Linked DNA regions of Saccharomyces cerevisiae S288C. The gene in region 2 interacts genetically with the main gene of each other region. Each region holds a gene or a part of one and is shown on either strand. Other genes may lie near its edges. The genes, in order: SCS2, GZF3, GLN3 and STB5.

Region 1 (3,984 bases), on a different chromosome or scaffold from region 2:
TTTTTTTTCATTGTTATCATTGTTTTTTATTCTCATTTTTCATTATATGATAATTATATTTATGGTACATAGAAACGGTTGTATATGCATTGTACGTGCGTTTATTCTTATTCTTCATCCCCCCTTATCTTAGTTTAAGGTTTCTAAAATCGAAAGTTTCATGTGCGTATGAAGCGGTTGAAAATGCAGACGAGGTAGCATTTGGTTCATTAGCATTATAAACACTTTGCTTTAAAGAAGGTAAGTTATTTTCGACATCTCTGTTTCTAATTGCTTCATCGTCCACATAGGGAGAGTCTATACCCACTTTCCAAAACGAGTTCATTACTTGATTACCATATTCGTTAGAAACACTTGCATTTAAACTATCACTTGCCGCAAGGGCGTAGTAGTGCGCATCCTGTTGCATTTCTTCGCTCTTTTCCTCTGCTGGCCTTGAATTCTTGTCGTGCCAGCGCGATAAGCCCATGTTACTATATTGTCAATATGTGAGTCCCTCGTTCACTATGAGACCTAGCAAAAAACAAACTGAAAGTAGGTGGCTGTTTATGTATTCATTTATTTATGGACCTTTTAGGCGCGACCCCCTCGCAAGATCTTCGTTAATGTGCATCCAAGACCCTCCCCTCATTTAGTAGACCCCGCATTGTTATGGTTAATAACGGATAGTTATTTGCCCAAGATAGCGCCTACTACACTAGGGAAACCGAACATGAATAAATTAAACAAGTAATATGTTACAACAGTGGTATAGTTATCGATTATTCTCCTATTTAAAAAATAAAACATATAAAAAAGTTAGGAAAGTATGATCTTTTAGTTCCTTGTTCTAGTATTGTAAAGGCTACAGAAGGAAACAATAAAAAAAGATTGTAGAAAAACAAAGTAAAATAAAGACTGAAAGGAAGGAAAGGGCAAAACACACACATATATAAATATATATTTAGAATACAGCTATATCCTCAATCTCCCTATTATCTGTAGAACCATCCTAAAACCAAGATAAGGAGTGCAACCAATATGAATATACCCATGCTGGATGATTCATTTTCTGCAGGTACGGTTGCGGCTTCCTTTATCTGGTTCTGTGGGGCCGGAGTGCTGTTGGACGTTTGCTTCTCATTTTCATGAGGAACGGTTTTCTGAACGACAGGTGGGACCTCTTCTTTCTTTACTTGGACGGGAGGTTGAGTTTCCGGTTCAGCAGGGACCTCCTTTTCGTTTACCACAGCAGGCACTTCCTTTGGCTCACTGTCTTGGACTACTGGTTCAACAGTTTCCTTGTTTTCCTGTATATTTTGGTTCTGTGCTGGGTGTACATCTGGACTTATCAAATATTTGACTTTTATCTTTTTAGAGATAGCCTGTTGCTTGAACTCAGCCTCCAAGTCGGACCAAACATCTGCAACAGCCTTGCCATTGAGGTCGTAAGGAGAAGGCAACGTGATAACCAGGAACTTGTCACGGCACTTAAAGTCTGCGGCAGGCTCTTCAGTCAAACCCAGGAAGATAACTTGAACCTGGATTGTTTCACCTGGAGCAACAACTGCGGCGTTTGGTCTCACGCAGTAAAACTTTGGGGCTGTGGTCTTGACCTTAAATGCAATGGTTTGGTCTGAATTGTTGGAAATACTAGCGTATTCTGTCGATTGCTCCGTTAATGGAGACTTATACACCAACACGTCAGGGGAAATTTCAACAGCAGACATACTTAGGTTCGCGGAGATTGTAGAATACCCTTCTGCTACACTATTAACACAGAATGTGCGTCAAACCACACCACACAATAAACAATGCACTTTGCTACTAAAACCATTCTATTCACCTTGCGAAAACAACAAGCGAAAAAAAAAAAGCGAGGGCGAAAGAGTAAGATCACCACGCACGTTTAGGGGATCGGAGAGCTTATCTATACAGCAACTAGAAGTATATAGAACAACAATGGTCGAACGACGGGTTAGTTTCACAGCTCAATAACCATAGAAAGGAATCGTGCATCATATGGTAGCTAGTATTAGATCAGGTGTGCTGACACTTTTACACACGGCGTGCGGTGCTGGTATCCTGGCCATGCCGTACGCATTCAAGCCGTTTGGATTAATTCCTGGAGTGATAATGATAGTGCTGTGTGGGGCGTGCGCTATGCAAAGCTTGTTCATACAAGCTCGTGTAGCTAAATACGTACCACAGGGGAGGGCCTCGTTCAGTGCTCTGACGCGGTTGATTAACCCAAATCTAGGTATTGTGTTTGACCTAGCGATCGCTATCAAGTGTTTTGGTGTGGGCGTCTCTTATATGATTGTAGTTGGGGATCTGATGCCCCAAATAATGTCTGTGTGGACCAGAAATGCTTGGCTGTTGAACAGGAACGTGCAAATTTCACTGATCATGCTTTTTTTCGTGGCCCCGCTGTCTTTTCTGAAGAAGTTGAATTCGTTGAGGTACGCTTCCATGGTGGCCATCTCTTCTGTAGCGTACTTGTGTGTTTTGGTGTTGTTGCACTATGTAGCACCATCAGATGAGATTCTTCGCTTGAAAGGCCGGATCTCCTACCTCCTGCCACCACAATCGCATGATTTGAACGTGCTAAACACTCTTCCAATTTTTGTCTTTGCCTACACATGTCACCACAATATGTTTTCAATAATCAATGAGCAGAGGTCAAGCCGGTTCGAGCATGTGATGAAGATTCCACTGATAGCAATATCTTTGGCTCTCATCTTATATATTGCGATCGGCTGTGCTGGATACCTGACATTCGGCGACAACATCATTGGAAACATTATCATGCTGTACCCGCAAGCGGTCTCGAGCACCATCGGCAGAATAGCGATTGTGTTGTTGGTGATGCTGGCGTTCCCACTACAGTGTCATCCTGCAAGAGCTTCAATCCATCAGATTTTGCAACACTTCGCCGAGGAAAATGTAAGTATAAGTGCTACATCGGCGGATGAACCCACTGTTGCTACCGAAAGTTCTCCGTTGATTCGCGACAGTAGCCTTGACCTCAATGAGGTAATTGAAGAAGAATCTATTTATCAGCCTAAGGAGACTCCATTGAGAGGCAAGAGCTTTATTGTTATAACGTGCAGCATTTTAGTTGCATCATATCTTGTCGCCATTTCGGTTTCCTCCTTGGCCCGTGTACTGGCCATTGTTGGGGCCACAGGCTCCACTTCTATTTCTTTCATTCTGCCCGGGCTCTTTGGCTACAAGCTTATAGGAACTGAGCACAAGACAGCCGTGCCATTGACGACAAAGATTTTCAAATACACAGGTCTTCTCTTGTTTATCTGGGGGCTAATAATCATGATCACCTGCCTGACCGCAGCTTTGAAGCTAAACTAAATAAGCAAGAGTATACTCATTCTTTTTTTGCTATTCCTCCATACGTACATAGACCCTTGAACCTACATATCCGCGTAAGAAACTATTAATAACCTAGCACCTGCGTTAAATCAGAAATTCTTAATCGCGTTTTACATTCCCAACGCGTTCAATCTATTTACACACAACAGCTTTCGGAGTCGGGCTTTTGCTTCATACGTATTATAAAAATTTCAGCGATTGCTGAAATATGCAAAGAACACAGGAACACGAATAAAGTCATTGAGCCTCGTTTTCAGTGAGGTATCATTGTCTATCATATCAGCTTTCTTTGCTCAACAGAATCGCTAAAAGAAAGGGCGTGTTATTAACAGTAGCCAACCCAATAATTTGAAAACAACATTGGACATTATAGATCAACGCCATCTTTTCAGAAACACCAAAAATCACGTTTTCAAAATATGTCAATATCATCAAAGATAAGACCAACTCCTCGTAAACCTTCACGTATGGCTACCGACCATTCTTTTAAAATGAAAAAATTTTATGCCGATCCTTTCGCTATATCATCAATTTCTTTGGCAATTGTATCGTGGGTCATCGCCATCGGGGGCTCCATCTCATCTGCATCCACCAATGAATCCTTCCCACGTTTTA
Region 2 (4,806 bases):
GGTGGTGGTGCTACAGAAATGGAAGTATCAAAATGCTTGAGAGATTATTCAAAAACCATAGCTGGTAAGCAACAAATGATAATCAATGCCTTCGCTAAGGCTTTAGAAGTTATTCCAAGGCAACTCTGTGAAAATGCTGGGTTTGATGCTATAGAAATATTAAACAAACTAAGATTGGCTCACAGCAAAGGTGAGAAATGGTATGGTGTTGTCTTTGAAACAGAAAATATTGGCGATAATTTTGCCAAATTCGTATGGGAACCTGCTTTAGTAAAAATCAATGCTTTGAACAGTGCCACAGAGGCTACTAACTTGATTTTATCTGTTGACGAGACGATCACTAATAAAGGTAGTGAAAGTGCCAATGCTGGCATGATGCCTCCCCAAGGGGCTGGAAGAGGGAGAGGTATGCCAATGTAATTAACACTCTAAAAAACATGTGCTGCATACATTTTATTATTACTCTTTTTGCAGTAGTTATTTGCATCAAAGGTAATTTCTTTCAATCATAAATAAGTTAATACTGTATTGATAAAACCTTATTCTTTTCTTTTGTATACTCTGTATCTTAAAGTAATTCTAGGTCTAAAGAAAAATGAAAGAAGTAATGAAAACTCCGAGAAACAAATCATATCATTGGTCGTCATCCGGGTTGGATGTCATGCAGCTGCATTCCATTTCTTCGGCAAAATGTACGTAATATTCGATTAGAACCCTGTTTTGCAACTGATTATGCTACTATGTATTTATATATGCATACATATGATGATATTATATTTGAAAAATGATGCTGATTTTTTTGAAAAAAAGATCTATCCTCCTTTATTCCCTTCTTGTTTTACTGTCCTTTGCAAACGTTCCTCAAGAGCTCGACATTTCCCGTCTAATTCATTGATATGTCTCCTATATAAATCTGTAACAAGTTCTAACTCATTTATTCTAGTTTTGAGCTTTATAATTTCTTCTTCTTTGTGCAATTTAGTGGATAACTGATCACCTAAATCTTTAGCTGGGTGATTTTCAAATTTTCGTCCAGAAACATCAGAACTAGAAACACTATTTGAGATGGATTGTGAATTTGCTTTGGATATACAGGGAGCTTTAGAAGATTGTAGAAACGGTATGAAATGAGGCGGTGTCGTCTCGGTTTTCACGTTGCTAATCGCACGATCTCTCGTCTCAAGCATGTCGTTAATAGAAGCCATGTGGAAAGATAAAGGGGCTGGGTCGTTACGCTTAGCAGATATTATATCTGGGGAAGACATCGTCGATCTAATTTGATTCGGTACCTCGGATGGATTAGAGTCAGTCGTCCGTGAAGAAGTGGGTGCCAGAGTTGCGGCGGTAGAGGCAATACCATTATTGCAATTGGACACTATTTCACTTCCGTTATTTGATATTGAAGTACTGCTCAAGCTTCCAAGCAGCATTGATAAGTGAGGTAATTGAGGAGAATCTGCGCCTGTTTTTGATGTTACTGAATGTGAAGCATTGAGGGGGAAAGAGGCTGCGTTGAATTGCGACCGTTCTTTGATAAAAGCAGATTGGTGTGCAGAATTTGAATACTCTTTAACGTCCGTATAACTTGGGAACGTAAGTAACTTCTCTTGGTATATAGCAGTATCTTGTTTGGGCAGTTTAGGCTTTAAGTTTGGTCTCGAACAATCTCCCGACATCAGTACCTCTAATTTTGTTGCTGATAGGTGAGAATCGCTTCTTTCCTTAGACTCCGTTTTTGGCTTCTTGGATATCTTCGCAGTAGATGATGTTCCCATTAAAAGTTGCGAACTTTTTTTCTTTTTATCTTCAGATGTTACTCTGTTAGCTTTGCGACCGCTTGATTCTATATTACAATCACCCTTAAGCTCTGCAATCAGCGTCTGATTCCGAAAGTTGTCCAGATTATGTGCATGATTTGTATTACTTTTCCTATTTCGAGACTTTATTACATCAGTTTTCAAACTAATTGGCCTGGGTTTCCCATGAAGCTTTAAAAAGAGACCACACGCATTACAAAGCATAGCTCCATGCTCATCTCTTCTCCATAATGGTGTTGTAGAGGTTAAACAGTTCTTACAAACAGGAACATTAGCATCATTGGATACGTTATTATTGCAATTGGCATCCATTGTTTGTCCATTATTCTTAACTTGATTTTTAGGTAATATATGGTGTAATGAATTCGTATCCGGACTCATTCTTCCAGCAGTAGATGTGGAAAAAGACTTGTCATTCGCCTTAAAATTCATATTGTTGCTTATTGACGCTCCTGCTTGCGATTCACGCAATTGAACTGCCGATTTTTGCTCGGCAGATACTGCTTCATAACCTAAAGGTGGCCATCTCCCAATATGCCCTTCTTCTTCGCTTTGATTTAAGCTGTTGAGGTTTTCACTTGATTTTGGTTCAAATACATTATCTCGTTTTCTAATGTTATAGCCTCGAAGAGTTGTAGCCTGCGATGCCATAATATTACCAGTAGAATTGTAGAGCACAGTACAAATACCCGAAATGATATTCGTATATCTAGTATTATAGCTTCAACCGCTTGCAATATGTTCTCTTTCAAACTACCTTATTATCAAGCCTATATCTTATTTTTCACTGATTAGGATTGATAAGCGCAGATAAGCGAAGATAAGAAAATTTTCACTCTGTTCGCCCGCTATTTAGGATCAGTAATTTTAGTAACGTTAATCACTAGGAACGACGAGAAAGATGACAGAATAATATCTCATTGAAACTTGAAGTAGCGTAATTGAAATATTAAGTTCAAACTCAGAAAGGGGCAGCTATCACGAATGAATAACAATATTTTCAATGAAAGATTTCGTTCAACAGCATAGTGTTTTACTTTACAAAAATTTACATAATACTTCACCTTTTTTTTCTAATCTAAATACCTATCAAAAGGTTCCCCTAAAACGTTTTCAACAACCTTGACCAAACCGGTCCTGACTTCACGTTCGATCTCTTCATCATCATCTTCCAATAACTCAGCGATGACGGGAACGAGCTGTGGCAATAGAACTAACCAACTTTCACCTATCTTTGAGTATATCAACTTCATGGCTCTAATAGCCCATAATTTTTCATTGGAGGAACAGGAAGCTTTCATGTGTTCAACGATTAGTTTATTCAAAATTTGGTTATGCTCATCAACGCCACTATTGTTAGAAGCCAGAGCGCCAATTGCCTTGACCAGGTACTTCCCAATAGAGTTTTCTATATTAGATAGTTGATTGACCAAGGATACAGAAATTAACTCGAATCTGGAAGTTGATTTCCAGTATTCGTCTCTATCAAACTTTAGCGAAGAGGTTAGAGAGTTGATTACCAAACGTCTTAAATTAACGTTTTCCATGTCCTTGCTAATGAATCTTTTTAACAACATATCAACAGGTTCTAACAAATACGTGAAATAGGAAGTAATTATACCTCTCAAATTTTCTTGAAGCTTGTTGAAAAATTTGAAAAATGCCAACAGTCTTTCTGTTTCAGTGATACCTGCATTTGTAACGCCTTCACCGTCAAACGCCCATCTTACTAATATAACAAATAGCGGTCTAAATACTTTGTCATTCATCTTCAGGACGTAAGAGTTGGAAATTTCGTGAACGGATGCCTCTATCCTACTAATTGTATTATTATCGAAACTGGAAATGGATCTAAATTCGAATAAAGATAATAGTAACTTAAAAAATATTGGCGATTGTGAGGTTGCGGATTTTTTATCAATATTTTCAACAGTGGATTCTAATGTACTCAAAAATAGACTAACAGCAACTGTATCATTGGACGTTGCTATTTCAGTGGACCAAATTCTGAATAAAACTTTCAAAACTTCCTTCAAATCTATATTCTCAATTATCAATGAAATTACTGACAGCCTAATGCTGCTGTCAACTTCACGGGAAAAATAAATAACATGCAAAACATCCAAAATATTTGACATCAAGAAACTTGGTATCCTTTTGATTAGACCGGCGAACAGCAACAGTATAGCAACTTGCAACTGCTCTTTTAATGGGTTACTACTATCTGCCAATGAAGCATCAAATAATTTAATAGAAGGTGGGACTATTTTTGGATAGAACGCAATTGACTTGACTCCTAAAACTTGAACACAGTTAGTTATCAATGCCAACGAAGATATCTTGACCTCTGTCATATCAGAACTAACTTTTTCAGTAGCAAGGGTGAGGGCTTGAGTTAATATGGACCCCTCAAGCTTCTTACCATATTTGCTCACTAAAGCCGTCATCGTGTTCAATATTACTTGAGAAATAACAACAGATTTAGATTCCAAAGGCATTCTGTCGAGCAAAACCTTCATCACATTGTTAACTATAGGAATAGCTTCAGAGCCTTCTAACTCGAATTTGGACCCTATTACCAACGTTAGGTGGTATCTAATATCTTCATTAGTGGATGTACTGAGTAAGGGTAATACCGCATTAACAAACTCGTCAACTGGTAGAATTTGTAACACATTGCCAAGCACCTTGAATAGAATCTCCTTTATTTCAGTCGTGTGATCTGATAATGATGTTTCAGAGTCGGAAGCTTCCTCATTTTCTTGGGAAGTTATACATGAAAAGGTTAATTCTACAGAATTAATGAAAAAAAGAACACCTTCTAAAAGGGTTCCAAATTCTTCCCTGATGTTTCTAATTAACTTTTTATCGCTTGTTTCATCTAACAAAACAGAATATACCTTTAGTCTTAAATTTCTCCTCACATCGTAATAATCTTGATCTGTTTCCTCGGTTATTTTATTGATAAACTCAAAGGTATTGTTCATAA
Region 3 (5,173 bases), on a different chromosome or scaffold from region 2:
CATTGAGCCAACTGCAAAGATTTGTTTTTACCCAAACCCTTGACTCCACGATTGTAATCGGCACCTAATAGCACGCTGAAAAATAAGAGAGACAGGCGATCAAACTTCTTCCCTGCTACTTTATTAATTTTGGGTAGATCTATAACAGTAACAAAAGATTCTTTACTATCATGATGTCTACTGGGACTGTGGGAAGTTATTGAACTTGGGCCAAAATCATCGTAGAATTTCGAGTAATTTTTCAGGATTTTTTCTCCCCCAAATACGAGAGTATCTGAATCGTTACTTAAAATGAAATCTACAGCCCCAGAAACTTGCAGCCAAACACACTGGGCTTCTCCCTCCCCACATGCGATTACATATGAAATGTTCATCAAGTCTAATAATTTCCGTACAAGACTGATGAACTCAGGGTCAGATGGCGCTAGCAATCCTTTACAATTGCCATAAACTTCATGATTCTTAACATGCTGTTCCCAGCTTGAATAGTACTCTTTCTCATCATCACAAGTAGTAGCGTTCTGTTCGTGGTTAAATTTCCTTTTGAAAGAGGGTTTCATAACTCCGTCAAATACAAGCAAGAATTCGACGTTTAAACTCAGTAGTTCTTTTAATCGAGATATGAAGTTTATCACAGCTTTTCCTGTAGTTGTATAACTTCTGCTACCATAATATTCTTGACTACTGTCGATATCACTATCACGCGGAGAACGGGTAGGACTCCTTGATCTTGATCTAGATCTGGCGCTTATATCTATATTTTGGATAAATCCACACTCAAATAGCCATCCATATGCGTCAATCGCGATTCTTGGAGCTCTTTTTTGCGATTTATTAAAGTCTATGACAAACTTTCTCAACGGAATTCTGGAATCTTGCAGATATGGCTTCAAAAATTCCCATATTTGTGAGACACCCATTTTCTTGTGCAGTATCCAGAATATACAAGTAGGTAAAATGCAATAGAACTGTCATTTCATTGGATGGACCATATACATTATTGTTTATGTGTCAGTCAAAAGCTAGTTAAATTATTCAACTGTGGGCATTATAAGAAAAAGAAAATGCCATTAAAAAAGGGCCGTTTAAAAAAAAAAAAGAAAGAGATAGACAAAAGAAACAGGGGAGATAGAGAAAGAATACCAAATAATAATTAGAGTGATATTACAAATTCCTAATAATATATGTCTACACATAAAAGTAATACAAATAGAACAGCCAGTGTTCAATGCCAATATACTACCATTTCTTTTTTTACAAGTAATTTGATCTGAAAATAGCAAAACAAATAATACCAATGCTCAGGATTGTGGTCAGAGGTAATGAAAATCTATCAATGCAACCGTTCAGTAATTATTAACATAATAAGAATAATGATAATGATAATACGCGGTCATATACCAAATTTTAACCAATCCAATTCGTCAGCAATTGCTGAACTTTCTTTAGAAGATCCTTTTGTGGAATTATCCTCACTGATCTTTCCGCCTGCACTCACATCTGCTTCATATTTTATAGGTGAAGTAGAGTCACTTGATAATCTATTGTTAAATTTGTGATTTGAGATAAACGAATTCGACTCCGAGTTCTGCAATTGTTGTGATAACAATGAGGTATGTGATTTTCTTGAAGAAGGTCTTGAGACACTCGGTGAATCTACAGGAGTATTAAAAATATCAAAATTTGGCTTTTGAGAGACAAAATTTGATGATCTTGAATTTGTTGAAACGCTATTGCTTGAATTCCAATTCTGTCTATTCGAATTCGTGTTTGTGTTGGAATTCACGTCCACTTGTTGCTGTTCGTGCAGTTGTTGCAAAGACGCAGCCATAAACGATGAGGAGTACGATGCATTGCGCGACATCTTTCTTCTTGGTATATTCATTCCTTGACGTTGGAAAGAATTTGATAATAGATTCTGCTGTAGAGGACTATTTGAGTTAAAGTTTGCGGACGATATAATTCTTGGTGAGGATGCGACACTATTTCCTGCACTTACATTATTTGTTGTGTTCATTAGGTTCATGTTCATGTTGAACTGCTGTGAATTAGCGCTATTAGGTGAAGGTTTTGGTAATATCGGAACAACAGATCTGGATGAAGATTTACTGGAACTTGAGGTGTTCGATGAAGTACTACTTCGTCTTGAAGACCTTCTAAAATTAGGAGTAACAGTGTTCGAATTGTGACGCATTAAGTTATTAGAATTCAAATTTGCATTGCTTGCTCCATTAAAATTTGCGTTACTACTATTATACGATTGGCTGTTCATGAGGACCGGGGAGGGGACTGAGTTGAAGTTATAGCCTCCCCTATTTACATTAAGGATATTATTAGTATTACCGATGTTGTCTCTAATGATTTCTTCAGGTATCACTCTAGATAAAGAGTTTTGTTGTAGTGATTTTTTCCTCGATCGTATGGGTTTAGCATTTGTAGTGGTTACTGAAGTTGAGGCAGTTGCAGGTGCACTTGGAGTATTTTGTGCAATGTTTGGGTCCGTTTGTTTGGCTCTCTTCTTTGAAATCCTCTTTTTGATAACGTCCGATTTTAAGGATAATGGCCTCATGGTACCATGTAATTTCTGGAAAAGACCGCAGGCATTGCAAAGAGTATTCCCCTCTGGGCTTCTCCTCCAAAGCGGTGTCTTGAAAGTTTTACAATTGAAACATTGTATCAGAGGTTTTTTATTTTGTCCTGATGGTTCCATATTGGATATACTGGAAGATACTGAGGCAGCTCTTTTGAAATTGGCCAGGGACGTGGACGACATTGGCTTGATAAGTGAGTTTTTTCTTACAGAATTTGTTGTGTTGGATGAAGATAATCCTATCGAATCGCTCTTCTTCAGAAAAGGATGCTGGATATTACTATTGTTGCTATTATTATTATTGGTAATGTTCATAGCGGATGAAGATGAGTTGTTGTTTTGTAGTTTGTAGATGTTGAAGGAATGGTGGGACTGCGCATTAGTATTTGAGTTGTTATTGATAGATGGCTGGTTGATGTTGCTGTTGGACGTGCTGGAATTATACGGGAACAGTGAGGATTTGGAGACGCTGTTGCCGAGGGAACCGTGGTTGTATTGCGGTATGTCGGAAGTAAAGCTGTTAGGAGCACTAATAGTAGCTGAACCGCTCGAGTTGCTGGGCGTCATGTTGAATTGGTCCACGTTAAAGTCCCAAAGTTGTGCAATTTCACCATTTTGTTGGTTGGATGCGGCTATGTCGATGGGCTGAGTTGTGGCAAGTGAATCAAACATCGCAATATCATCATCCATATGATTGGTAGCTGGTGTGGTGTCCTTGACCGTCTTAGTAGTCACGCTGGTCGTGGCAGCTGCTGTAAAAGGAGACACGAAGTCCGTAAAATATAAATCATCGGGCAGTGCCTCCAGCATTGAGTCGAATGTGCCGCCGTTTAATCCACTGGCAAATGCTATATCCTCCTCGTTTTCACCGGTGTTGCCACTACTCTGGCTCCTACTGTCACCAGTTTGTCTCGGCTCTTCATTACTTCGACCATGCACGTCCAGATGACTATTCAGCAGGTCGTACAGCTTCGAATTTTCGGGGTCGTCTTGCATTTGTTTGTTGGTGGGGGAAAAGGGGGCCCTGTGCTCTCTCTCGTCTCTCTTTCTTACACACTCTGTTATTGTGGGATGGGCTACTGCGCTGACATTAGCTTACCACTCTTGAACATCTTTCTCTGTCTTGCAAGATGACTCTTTCCACTCTCTCAGCATTGCCATGTCACTTTCTTTCGGGAACCTGTCCGCCGGGTAATAGAGCAAAAAATGTGAATATATCATATTAAGAATGTTTAAAGGGCCAGGTAGAGATAGAGTACAAGAATGGAAGGTTGAAAAGCTGTAAAGAGATCAAGAAGGTGTGGTAATTATGAGCAAGCATAAGCATGAATGGACGGAATCAGTGGCCAACTCTGGGCCGGCTTCAATCTTATCTTACTGCGCGTCCTCGATTTTGATGACAGTAACGAACAAATTCGTGGTTAACCTGGACAACTTTAACATGAACTTTGTGATGTTGTTTGTACAATCACTGGTGTGCACTGTGACGCTATGTATCCTACGAATTGTAGGCGTTGCTAATTTTTGATCTTTGAACAGGACAGATGTAAAAAACTGGTTTCCAATTTCTTTGCTGCTCGTATTGATGATTTATACGTCGTCAAAGAGCTTACAATACCTTGCCGTGCCCATCTACACAATTTTCAAGAATCTGACGATCATTCTCATTGCTTATGGCGAGGTCCTCTTCTTTGGCGGAAAAGTCACTTCTATGGAGTTGACGTCATTTATTATGATGGTCCTTTCATCTGTAGTGGCCACCTGGGGCGATCAGCAGGCCATTGCAATCAAAGCATCATCTTTGGAGGATCTCGATCAGGAACTTGTTGAGTCAACCATCTTTGTGTTGAATCCGGGGTACCTCTGGATGTTCACCAATTGTATTTCGTCTGCATTGTTCGTTTTGATTATGCGGAAGAGAATTCGGCTGACTAACTTTAAAGACTATGATACTATGTTTTATAACAACGTTCTGGCATTGCCTTTGCTGCTAGTCTTTTCCTTCATTATGGAAGATTGGTCCACAAAGAATTTGTCTGTGAACTTGTCCGCCGACTCACTGGCAGCAATGGTCATCAGTGGGCTCATGTCCGTGGGGATATCGTACTGTTCCGGCTGGTGTGTTCGTGTAACTTCCTCTACAACGTATTCTATGGTTGGTGCTTTGAACAAATTGCCCATAGCGTTGGCGGGATTGGTGTTCTTTGACGCTCCAAAAAACTTTTTGTCCTTCTTTTCTATCTTTCTAGGATTTCTGTCTGGCCTGCTGTACGCTGTGGCTAAACAGAAAAAGATACAACAGCAAAAAGTTCTAGCAGCTACTCTTGAGAAGTAGTACATTCTTCATTTGCTCAAGCAAAATATACATTTATATTCATTTATATGGGGTCTTCTTTGTATTTGTTTTAGGTTATTCCTTTTTTTATGTTACATATTATGTCAGCATCGTTTTATGAAATATATTCATATATAATTTTTCAAGTAAATAGCAATAAAGTGATAAAATTTTGTTAGACGCACAAAAGGGCAGTGTCACAAATGGGAAGCGTGAACTCATCACCGAATGAAGAGTTTGAAACTGTG
Region 4 (5,329 bases), on a different chromosome or scaffold from region 2:
ACTTAGTAGAGTCTGAAGATTGAACAAGAGATGCTAAGAGATCTTGAATTACGGAAGTTCATTACGGAAGTTCATTACGTAAGATATTTCCATGCATCCGTCGCAAGTTCCGCCTCTTGGAGACATTTTGTCATCGCTAGCGTAGGAAGTTGAAAACGCGTATTGTGCTAAGCCGCTAAATTGTAGTGATTTTGATGATAGTGTTCCGGCGAAGACCTGCCAGCTCTTATTTCTTACTCACTTGCGTTTGGCGTCTTGTAGCATTATCTATCTTATAGAGTTACTTACTTTCAGAAGCATCTTGCAACAAACGACATAATTGCAAAGATATATATATATAATCAATTAATTGTTCTCATAAATCGCTTTAAGAGTTCATGGCAATCAACTTTTTCATTTGTCATTAGGGTTGTGTTATAAAGTACTCATTTTTCATTAAAATACATATGTGAATAATCAATAGAAGAATCTTGTCGTGAAAAAAACTGTTTCATTAAACGGCAGCAACAAGCCGCTGCCGTATAGTATGACGACATGACAAAACTCGGTGAACATATGTCATACAAGTTTATCAACCCAAGAGACGTCAACATTGTTTTCGTCTAATATGTCTTGATATGAATCGCTGGCGCCAAATAACTCTCTTGTTAATTGGTCCATATTAGGAACTTTACCATGGCTTAAACTAATATCGAGAATTGTGTTGCTAATGTTTTGGAAAACATCCGCGCATCTCATAGCAAAAATCCATCTTTCACCGAAATGTCTTAGTATTTCCACACACTGTTGAATTTCGATTTTACTTTCAATGAGGTCGATGCTCCACTGGCAAAGACAGTATAAGATAGTGTTACAAATGGTTAATGTTCTGAAAAGGGTTATCCAGTTCAAGGGTAATAACCGCTTCTTGTACAGTGTATAAGTATGTTTCCAGGCTTGCAAGCAAAACTCTCCTAGAGTGGATAGTGAGTCAATGGGCGGTTTTGGCATCAATGCAGATGGTCTGTATAGTAAGATTTGCAACTGGGAGTATCTCATTGCTAGCCAAATCTCAGAACTATGGAAGGATATTACATTTGTAGTAGAATTGTTCTCCCTCTCCACCTGATCCATTTGAGATTTTTTCAGTTTCCTTCTTTCTGATTCTCGAGAATAAATTTCGTCTAGCTCCTTGCGTAATCCACTTATGATTTCCTGCTTTTGTTCGATGGTTAACTTTTGTCGCCCTGCACTTACAGAGTGGACTTGTTTATAAATGCGACCGCCCATTTTCCTTAATGATATCATCAACTTGGTCATCTCTAAATCGTCTCTTTCATCCACATACAACGCCCTCGGTAGTGGCACAGTGATGTCTTCGTCGTCGATCCCGGATATACGGCCCAACGAGGTGCATACTAGCCTTTCAAAGCAGTAAGCACTCCAAAACACTCTATATCTTGCCTCTGCTTCTAAAGCAGACATGCTCTTGAGTTTTTTGGCAGTTAACTCTCTATTTAAACCTAATCCTATGGTCAATCGCATGATGATACCACTAATTGTCCATGACGAGGAGCCCTTTGGCTCAAAAAACGAATAAATACCCAACAACAATAGGCATCGTACAGTTTCGATATCTTGTAAAATTATAACACTACGAAATTTTTTCATGGCCAAAAAAGCCAAATGTTCACTCAGACACTCTTCGTCCTGAGAAACCATACCAGCACGCTGTAAAGTTGTACAACCAATAGCCATGATCATGTATACTTTGAAAACAAAGCTGTCAGGGTAGTTTTTGTTGTCATATAACCTTTCGAAATCAGTAATTGTCGCGGCGTCATTTAGGAATGCTATTTTATCAATCATGGGAAATAGACGGTGATTGTGTTTGAAGTATGCGGCAATGAACCTGTCCAGTAAGGATCTATCAATTGACTTGAACGAGCCATCCTCTCTGACCCACGATGTTGTTCTACCACCTTTAAAGCAACAGGACATAGTTTCAAATTCGATCGAGGATGCATCAACCGGCACAGAATCGAATTTCCCATTGGGGGCTGAATTGTTTGCATATGGGGTAAGACTCAATTGCGGTGTGTTGGTACTGCCATTGTTATTATCGTGGTTAACATTACTGCCGTTATCCCCGTTGCTAGTATTGCGATTGTTGTTTTGTAGCGGTACGGCTTGGGCGTTCGCAGGCACATGACTGCTAATTAGTGGTGAAGGCGTGTTATATCCTCCGAATGATGAAGTTGTCGAACTTTGCTGCACGGAAGCTGGCAATGATCGGGAAGGAATCATGGAATTTTCATTAGAGGATAAGTGCGAAGAAGGATTAGAATTATCATTCAGCGATGTTAGCACCGAAATTAGCGATGAGACACCTTCGCTAGAATTTGGACTTGCCCCCATGACAAGATTTATTGGATCTGACGGTTTTAGCTGTTTCATCTTATGTGCATCATCGTTTTCGTAAGGCGAAAACCCGGGAGTTATAGCGCCATTTGCGGATAGCGGACTAGAAGAGTTTGGCATGCTCTTAGTGCTCAATGGGCTTTTTCCTACCTTCTTGTTCCTTTTCACTGGAACATATTCCCCTCGTAGCATAGCATCCGCTAACTCCTTCTTGGTACGTCTTGGGGCTCTACCTGGATATGAACAGTGTGCCCCATTTTTATCGCAGTTTGCACATGTCGGTATTTGTTTACCACACTTCTTCTTTAATTTTCTGCATCGTGCGCACGAATACAATTCAGTAGTACGTTGTGATCTCCCGCCTTGATGTGCAAAATTGGGACCATCCATGTCCTTCTTTTACACCTTTGTATTAATTTTTTAGCCCTGTACGCTCGGATATTATACCTCTTGTTACGTAGAGGAAATAACCGAACCTTGCCAAGAACTTCATTGTCGGTGTTTTATTTCGGAAGCTTATTTTTCTTTTAGTATTTCCGCTCGCCCTATTTTTCCCGTGGTATCGGCCTTGTCGTTATATTCCCTGCGGGTGATGGCGCCATGAATTAAATGCGACGCTATATAATAAGCTAGTAAAACAAGATATATTATGTGAAATTAAGTAGACAATCTGTCGGAGAATCTTCTTGGCATATATAGTATAATCGAGTGTAGTTTTCTTCCCGTTTTCCGTTGAGATTGAAGCCTTTTTTTTGTTTCAATTCCTGATGTTCATCAAAATAGAAGGTTGCAAGGAACGCATTAAATAATTCGTGAAATTTACAACTTTTGCATCAACAATGGAGTAAGCCACTCTTCATTCTTGAGTGTATTACCAGCATTAGTAGTGTTCTAAATGATTCAACAGTGCTAAGCGCTTCTTGTTTTTTTTTTGCACTTTTGCTTTTATTCGGGTTGAAATCGTCGTACACATTACCACAAGTACCATTGTTTCAATGATGAATCCGTTTATATATGCGTAGCGAGTAGATATAGAATCTGTTAACATAACTTCATGCCTTCTTGTCTTAGAACATTCCTATACGCGAGAACCGCGCCGCGAAGAAGAAGCCACAGAAACATAAACGTATCCTCAAGAAGTCTTCGAGCTTTAAGTCGTTTCTCTTAGTCTCGCTTTCACAGTGTTACTGCTATCATTTCTTCACTCCTGGAGGCAAACGGATATTCTATAGAAGAAATTGGATGAGGACAAAATGTGTTGTTGCAACTTTAACTACGTGAGAAAGGTGAAAGTAAGGTATTAGAAGAGAGGACACAAGAGTTATAATATCAGTAACTTTCGAAGTGGGTATCTCACATGGTTTTGATTGGGGTTCTCGATTGTTTTGCCCCCCTGGTTTATTCATTTTTCATAACAATGCCAAGAACCGTTTTTAGGTTTGATTTCTCAGTTCCCTTGCGTTTCTTTCTCTGGAAATTTCATGATAGAATTACAAATTTGGATATGCTTGTTAGTATATGATACAATGATGGAGGTGAAAATCAGATGGTCCTATAAATAGTTTTTCGAAATCCATCGATGGTAGGGAACAACAAGAACAAGCACCCTCCTGTTTTTTTAAAACCCTTTCTGAAAAACACACAATTGGCTGCCCTTTCTATGTAGTGAAGAATCCTTTTGGAATATGAGCGGTACTTTAGGTGAACCTTTCAGCAATTGAAAGGATGCTGATCTTCTACTTTGAGTATTGGTGGGATTTAGGATTGCTTGATGTGTTGTTTTTACTAAATGTTGGTGGATGTTGCATGCTGTCTGGCGCATGAATCATTTGGTATTGTGTTTGAGCCGGGGGATTCATACGAGGAGCTGGCAAAATATAAATGCCATCTAGGTTCTTGTTGGTTGTGGAGGTGGTTATGTTTACATTTGGAGGATTAATAGAATCTGTGACTGGTTTTGGTTGTCGGTAATCATGCACAAGTATATGGTGTACTGGGGGCATCATTGTTGGGGCGATAGGCGCCTTAGAGTGATTGCATTCAGGACCCGACCTCGAAGAGTATGGATCGATATTTTGGTATGGTATTGGGCTCAATGTATTGGAGGAGTATATCACTGAAGGCGACACGCCACGCCGTTCATAAGGTGCTGCAGTAGGTTGTTGCGGGAGAGTATTGTATGTATTGCAGAAAATCATAGGTTGTGAGACCGTACGTCTCAATCCAGGCTGATAGTTAGGATTGTAAACACCAATTGGTTGTGGCTGGTGCTGCATATACGGGAGAGGTAATTTATTCTGTTCATCTATGGGTAAGAGATATTGTTGCTGTTGTCGGTGCTGCTGTTGGTGCATTTCTCGAGGAGCGTTATTGAAGGTGGTTAAAGGTAACTGAACTGCGGTCCTAACTGGAATATTTCCAGGATGGTTGTTATAATTGCTCAAGAGATCACAATAGCTCGGAGAAGATGATAAAGACCTGCGCGTTTTATAATTATGAGCTTTGGTTCTGCCTCTCTCATTATTTTTAGACGGGTTAGATCTGCCATTTCCTACAGCAACTTTTTGTAAAGCATCTAATAGTTTCTGTGAAGGTCGAAATTTATGGAAGAAAGGATTTTCTGAAGGTCTCCTCAAACTTCCTTGATGAATATCCTTTTCCGTATAGTACGCAATAAGATGAAATGTTTCCAGCTTAGTGCTGTCGGTGGGATCCATATTGAATTTTAGAGAAAATGTTTTTTTCAGTAGTCCAGTATAAAAATACTTCCTATGAGCCCTCTCGAAGATATTATACTCAGGTACATTATGCAGCGGTAGATCGTGCGTGGAACCCAGCCTATTATACTCTCTATATACGAGAAATTTGCCTGAAATTCTTGAAGGAGACCAAGAAAAACCATCTGTCCATCTTTTGATGCCGGATTTCT

The links.
Region 1: mutations in GZF3 (region 2) and SCS2 together harm fitness more than expected from each alone (negative genetic interaction), as found in Saccharomyces cerevisiae (2 studies listed by BioGRID).
Region 3: mutations in GZF3 (region 2) and GLN3 together harm fitness less than expected from each alone (positive genetic interaction), as found in Saccharomyces cerevisiae (2 studies listed by BioGRID).
Region 4: mutations in GZF3 (region 2) and STB5 together harm fitness more than expected from each alone (negative genetic interaction), as found in Saccharomyces cerevisiae (2 studies listed by BioGRID).

Annotation. Positions count from the first base shown.
Region 1 is NC_001137.3:398,860-402,843, reverse strand, and holds SCS2 (phosphatidylinositol-binding protein SCS2), read right to left. Parts: upstream 1,710-3,984; coding exon 975-1,709; downstream 1-974. Other genes in the region: YER121W (uncharacterized protein), read right to left, coding at 125-469; AVT6 (aspartate/glutamate transporter), read left to right, coding at 2,002-3,348; osmosensor SHO1, read left to right, coding at 3,789-3,984. UniProt on the Saccharomyces cerevisiae protein: Acts as an endoplasmic reticulum (ER) membrane anchor for cytoplasmic proteins via binding to the FFAT motif of targeted proteins. Regulates phospholipid biosynthesis by modulating the subcellular localization of the transcriptional repressor OPI1.
Region 2 is NC_001142.9:209,110-213,915, forward strand, and holds GZF3 (Gzf3p), read right to left. Parts: upstream 2,469-4,806; coding exon 813-2,468; downstream 1-812. Other genes in the region: chaperonin-containing T-complex subunit CCT7, read left to right, coding at 1-420; snoRNA-binding rRNA-processing protein UTP10, read right to left, coding at 2,891-4,806.
Region 3 is NC_001137.3:228,208-233,380, reverse strand, and holds GLN3 (nitrogen-responsive transcriptional regulator GLN3), read right to left. Parts: upstream 3,587-5,173; coding exon 1,394-3,586; downstream 1-1,393. Other genes in the region: YEN1 (crossover junction endodeoxyribonuclease), read right to left, coding at 1-920; YER039C-A (uncharacterized protein), read left to right, coding at 3,900-4,118; HVG1 (putative GDP-mannose transporter), read left to right, coding at 4,176-4,925; FMP49 (Fmp49p), read right to left, coding at 4,550-4,930; Smc5-Smc6 complex subunit KRE29, read left to right, coding at 5,129-5,173. UniProt on the Saccharomyces cerevisiae protein: Positive nitrogen regulatory protein. Required for the activation of transcription of a number of genes (including the allantoin pathway genes) in response to the replacement of glutamine by glutamate as source of nitrogen.
Region 4 is NC_001140.6:456,760-462,088, reverse strand, and holds STB5 (Stb5p), read right to left. Parts: upstream 2,791-5,329; coding exon 559-2,790; downstream 1-558. Other genes in the region: ROF1 (Rof1p), read right to left, coding at 4,137-5,329. UniProt on the Saccharomyces cerevisiae protein: Binds to SIN3.